2 linked regions of the Ovis aries genome follow. The protein of the gene in region 2 interacts with the protein of the main gene of each other region in a biochemical or structural test. Links are inferred from orthologs where the notes say so. Each region holds a gene or a part of one and is shown on either strand. Other genes may lie near its edges.

What was found.
Region 1: the proteins of DCN (region 2) and TGFB1 form a complex in vitro, tested with the Homo sapiens proteins (3 studies listed by BioGRID). The link is inferred for Ovis aries from reciprocal best matches to the Homo sapiens genes DCN and TGFB1.

What each region holds. Positions count from the first base shown.
Region 1 is NC_056067.1:50,056,175-50,059,674, forward strand, and holds part of TGFB1 (transforming growth factor beta-1 proprotein), read right to left. Parts: intron 2,314-3,500; coding exon 2,153-2,313; intron 953-2,152; coding exon 835-952; intron 1-834. UniProt on the Homo sapiens protein: Transforming growth factor beta-1 proprotein: Precursor of the Latency-associated peptide (LAP) and Transforming growth factor beta-1 (TGF-beta-1) chains, which constitute the regulatory and active subunit of TGF-beta-1, respectively.
Region 2 is NC_056056.1:127,553,290-127,555,625, forward strand, and holds part of DCN (decorin), read right to left. Parts: intron 1,435-2,336; coding exon 1,296-1,434; intron 1-1,295. UniProt on the Homo sapiens protein: May affect the rate of fibrils formation.

The DNA of each region.
Region 1 (3,500 bases), on a different chromosome or scaffold from region 2:
CTTGAACCCCCTCAGAGGAGTAAGGGTACCCACTCTGGGCTCCTATAGCACTTATGGCCTCCCCTGGCCATCATGGCCTGCTAGGGCTTTGGGCAAGATTTCCTGGGTATCTAGAAGTGAGTGCGGGTCCCATGAGGGCAGGCCTAGAGGTTGTCATGGTTACCTCTGATTCCCCCACCCCACCAGCATAGGGCCAGCCAGAGAGCAGGAACCTACTAGCATTTACCCCAGTGAAGGAATGAATGAGAGGGAGACTCAGAAGGGAGATGTGAGCACTGGGGCCTTCAACATGACAGGACAGACAGTCCTCTTCCAGACAGAACAGGTGTGTCAGGCTTTCCCTGGACTCGAGGCCTCTGCACAGCCTATCCCCCTGCCTTGAACACTTTTGCCCCTCCCTCCTATCCCAGGCTGGCCCCAGGCATCCCTTCGATACCCGCTCCAATATCCCCTCCTCCAGGAAGCCCTCCCTGACCTCCCAGGCTGCATCAGGCACTTCCTCTGGGCTCCCCATCCCAACCCTGCCCACACTGGGACATTACTACCTGGTTTTCAGGTCTTTTCCCCAAGTCCCCCAACCCAAGCAATGGAGCACAAGCTTCCTGAAGGTCAGGATGAAGCTGTTTCCGTCACTTCTGTGTCTCCAGCATCACCCAGCACAATGCAGGTGCTCAAGAAATAGATTAACCATTAATCACTCAGGTGTGAGTGTCTGGGAGGAGGGCCAGGTCTGGGCTCTTCAGCACCAACACAAGGCAGGGGGTGCTAGGCAGGGTGGTCCCAGGACAAATAATGGGTTACAAAATAGAGGTGGGGCAGACAAGTGGTCCTCACCTCTGTGGGTCAGCCACTGCCGCACAACTCCAGTGACGTCAAAGGACAGCCACTCCGGTGAGTCGCTGGGGGCGAGCAGCCGGTTGCTGAGGTAGCGCCAGGAATTGTTGCTATATTTCTGAGGGATGAAGAATTGGGTGAGATAGTGGGTAGAGGCTGCCACACACACCCATGTATCCTGCACCCCTCACTCCATCTGCTTCCCAAAACGGGTCTCCACACAGTCCATCAGACAGTCCACCTCCCAGACATCCACACTGAGGGACTTCATAGAAACCACCCAACCCCATGACAGGGGACAAAGAACTCCAGGCTGGGGCTCAAGGCACCTAGGCATTTCAGCCTCCACCCTTGATTCCGGGATGGCTGTGGAAAATTCCTTTCTCTTTTTTGGCCTCAGTTTCCTCACTGATGAAATGCCCAGTTCCTTTCAGCTTGGACAGCTCATGAGGCTAAAATTCCCCTACTGACATCATAGAGGTCATTGACGATACAGCTCTGAATTCCGAGAGTCTATCGCTTTCTAGAAGTTATGTTCGAAGTCATTCCATAACTCCAGCACTTGGTGGCACCCCAAGAATTACACATTCTATGAACCCGAGAAGTTTTATGAGAGTCAAGTTCAACAAACCCAGGAGTTCGATGAGCCAGAAACCTAGACGTTGCAAACGCCTGACATCCACAAGGAATGATGACACCCTGGGAACTGGCAGCATAAAGCCGAGTTCTCTAGATTCCGAGCAGTTGATATCAAAGCTTCCTCATCGTAAGAATCTAACATCGACCACTGAATCTAACATTCCATCTGACAGGGCGTCTAGGTCACATAACCTTCAAGAAAATCCAGATTTTCTGGACTCTTCCTGGAGACTCTTCTAGAACAGAGCTATCCAAGAGAACTTTCTGTGACGATGCAAATGGGCTTTATCGGTGGTGTCCAAAATAGCAGCCACTCACCCCATGTGACTACGTGCCACTTGAACTATGGCCAGTGAGACTGAGAAACTGAATTCTTTCTTCTATTTAATTTTAATCCACTTAAATGGCCATATGTGGCTAGTGGCTACTGGGTGGGCACAGGGCGTTTTGAAAGTCTCCAACTTTTCAAAGATTCCAACTTTCCTTGTCCTGAGTTTTCAGAGTCCAGCTCCGAAAATTCCAGCTGCTAAGCATTTAACATTCTAAGGCTCTAGGAGACTCCACACTCTGTGCTCCCTCATCCTTCAGGGTTGGTCCTCGTGGACCCTGCAGCCACCAGCCTTGCAGCCGTCCTGGGACCCCCCCAGCCCAGGCCACCTTCCAGGACCCTTGCCCCCACCTGGTACAGCTCCACGTGCTGCTCCACTTTTAACTTGAGCCTCAGCAGGCGCAGCTCTGCCCGAGAGAGCAACACAGGTTCAGGCACTGCTTCCCGGAGCTCAGACGTGTTGAAGAACATATATATGCTGTGCGAGCTAGACTTCATTTTGTCATAGATTTCTAGGCAGAAAGAGTCGGGGTGGGGGGCTGTCAGTGTTTGGCAAGGGGCAGGGGAGCTAGTGTACCCCAAATCGAAGAGCTCTGGGTTGGACTCTGACCCTGACACTTTTTAGCTGTGTGACCTTAGGTGACTAGCTTCTCCTCTCTGAGTTTGTTTCCACCTCTTTATTATTATTTTAAATATTTATTTATTTGGCTGTGCAGGGTCTTAGTTGTGGTGTGGGATCTTTGGGCTTCGTGCAATGTGGGGTCTTTAGCTGCAGCATGCAAACACTTCGTTGTAGCATGTGAGATCTAGTTCCCTGACCAGGGATCGAACCTGGGTCCCCTGCATTGGGAACTTCGAGTCTTAGCCACTGGACCACCAGGGAAATTCCTCTAGCTCTTTAAACAGGGTCCTATCCATTCTTCCCTCTCATCAGGTAGGAAGTGGCCCCTCAGTACAAAGCCGGCTTGAGGATGGGGCTGCTCTGCTTGCTCAGGCCTCCCCAGCTCCTGGAGTCTCAAATGCAAGTTACGTTGAAGCAGAGAGATAAAGGGCGCTTGGATGAGACTATGGCTTTGCTGCCTTCTGTGACCCTGGGCAAGTCACATTCCCTCTTGGAGTGGTTAAATCTACTTGACATCAAGCTCTCTGCCTCCCAACCCAGGCTCTCCTAACTGAAGCACAGTGGAACTTTGGGCAGATGAATTCCTCTCTCTGTGCCAGATTCTCACCTATAAGCCAAGGACTGATGTCAGGATGCCAGTGTGAAATAGATGAGATGATGCAGATAAAGTATGTGGCACAGAGTCTGCATACAGTAGTTACTCTAATGTGTATTCAACAACCCCATGAGAAAGATTCTATTAGTATACCCATTTTATAGATGGGCAAACTGAGGCAAAGAGATGAAACAATTTGTCCCTAAGCCACACAGCCAGGAAACTACAGTGTGGGGTGGGGATTCAAACTCGGCCAGTCTGATCCGAGGCTATGCTCTTAATCCCTAGGCTATGCTCCCTCCCTGCTAATGTGGCATTATTTTTGTTATTATTAGTAGTATTTCCTCCCTTAACTGGTTATAGAAAGCCAAGTTCATTCTAGATAAGGATGGCTTCAGGGGTGGGGGAAGGGAAACAAAATTAAGAAGACTCCCAGTTCAGGAAAAATTGGGGACTGGGACTGAAGGGGGCAGGCCATGATC
Region 2 (2,336 bases):
AACAAGCTTAGAGGAACTTCCTTTCTCATTTCTAAACATAATCAGAAGTTACAGTTATCAAAAGGTATAGTACTAGCAAAATAAAATGTGGTATATCCATATAATGATGTGCAATTCATCAATAAAAATGATTGAATTATTGACACATGCTGTGATATGGATGACTTAAAATTACTCTGATAAGTGAAAGAAGCCAACCACAAAAGCCACACCTTGTATGATTACATTTAGAAATGTCTAGAAAAGAAACATATATAGAGAAACCAGATTAATGATTCCCTGTGCCTGAGGACGAGATTGAGAACAACTAGAAATAAATATGAAAGAGGCCTATTTGGGAGGTAATCAAAATATTCTAAAACTATATTGTGGTGATAGTTGGATAATTACATAATTTAAAAATATTTGGACTATATGGATATAGAAAAAAAAAGTAGAGTAGGTGAAACCGCTAAGAGCCTCGAGAAATGTAGGTAATATGACTACATGGATGCCAACTGGAAATGGGAAACTAAGAGCAAGGTCCTTCTGAATGCGGGGCCCTGTGTAAATGTCCATGAAATTTGCTGATATTCAAGGAAGATTTCAAAATGGCATGTTTGATAATTTTATCTCTGTGACCACAGTAAGACACACTATATATTGAGCTTTTCATATATATAATCTTTTAAAAATACACAATTTAAACAACATGTTTGTTTAATTTCCTCAAGATAACAATGGAAATCTTATATTGTTATATATGAAATCACTATGACTACTTAAAGTAATAAGCATGACTTACTTTTACAGATTTATGAACTGTAAAGCTCTGTTAGCATAGTGAACCACTGAACCATATCTTCTTATCTTTAAGAATATATGATAACTGATAATTTATATGAAGTTAATTCAGTCACACAGCTAGGTAGACATTGTCTTTTGACCTACAAGATGTTTGTTGAAACTCAAAGTTAAAACTATTTTATTTCATATGCATAGATTACAGATGATATCTAAATACTATGTATTTGTAACACTGATCTGTGACTTGAAACTACCCTGCTTCATAAAAAATAAATTACATTCTGGAAGCAAGTAATATAGTAAGTTCAAGGTAGTAGTCCTAATTAAAAAAAATTAATATTAATTTAAACCTATATATCTCACAGAACCAGAATGAAAATTCATGTAGAAACATTAAAAATATCTCTCTGCAAAAACATTTCTAAGCAGAATTTCCTGCCTCCAGGCATCCCAGTAGGGATGATTTGCTCCCTAGATATTCCTCACAATAGTTAGTGGTTTTATATTACCTGGATGTACTTATGGTCGGCCAGCCCACCGGGCACTTTGACAAGCTTGTTGTTGTTCAAATGAAGTTCCCTCAAATGAGGAGTGTTGGCCAAAGAGCCATTGTCAACAGCAGAGATGCTGTTGAAACTCAGTCCCAACCTGCAACAGAAAACAGAAATGAATGGATCACTGCACATGGATGCCTTCTTACAATAGGAAAGGCATTTTTTTGTTGTTTTGTTTTTGTACTATTACCTCTGCCTAATGTGATTTTCCCCAAACTATCTGAGCTTGGATAGAGCCGATTTGTTCTTAAGGTTTCATCTCAGATACAGTCTGCCCCTAGTGAATGCTCATAGAGCACCCAGTTGTCACCCTCTTGTAACACTCAAGGGGCTGTGTACTTGTGTGTCTTGCTTTGAGAAGAGTGACTGTCTTGTATATCTGGTACTAACCCAGAGCTTGATGTGATCAAGAGTTGATTGTATAATGAATGCAGTTTACTCAACTGAGGCAAAATGAAAGGGACACTATTACTATCTGGGTCACTTTGTAAAGCAAGCAATTGTATTTGTATTAGACAAATTTATTTGTTGTAAATAAAAAGTGAAAGTTTGTAATGTCAACAAATCTACCTGCCAGAAAGCTCAACAGAAAATATGGTTAAAAGAGTCTATCAATGACAATCTGTTACTGTCAGAATATGCCTGGTATCAATATTCCTGGCTTCTGACACTGATCTCTGAGCTATGAGCCTAGAGCCCTGACCTCTGACCCTGATCTTGCCCCTTCTTCCATTTCTCATACAATGCCACTCAAGGTTCTGGGTTGTATTTTTTTCGTTAAATGTTTAGCAAGTGTGAGTCTGCAGCTTTGATGTTCCCTCACAGTGCGTGCTAGGTCACTTCAGTCATATTCGACTCTCTGCGACCCTATAGACTGGAGCCCACCAGGCTCTTCTGTCTATGGGACTCTCCAGGCGAAACTACTGGAGTGGGTTGTCATGCCCTTCTCCAGGGGATCTTCAAGACTCAGGGTTCAAACCCGTGGCTCCTGCCTTG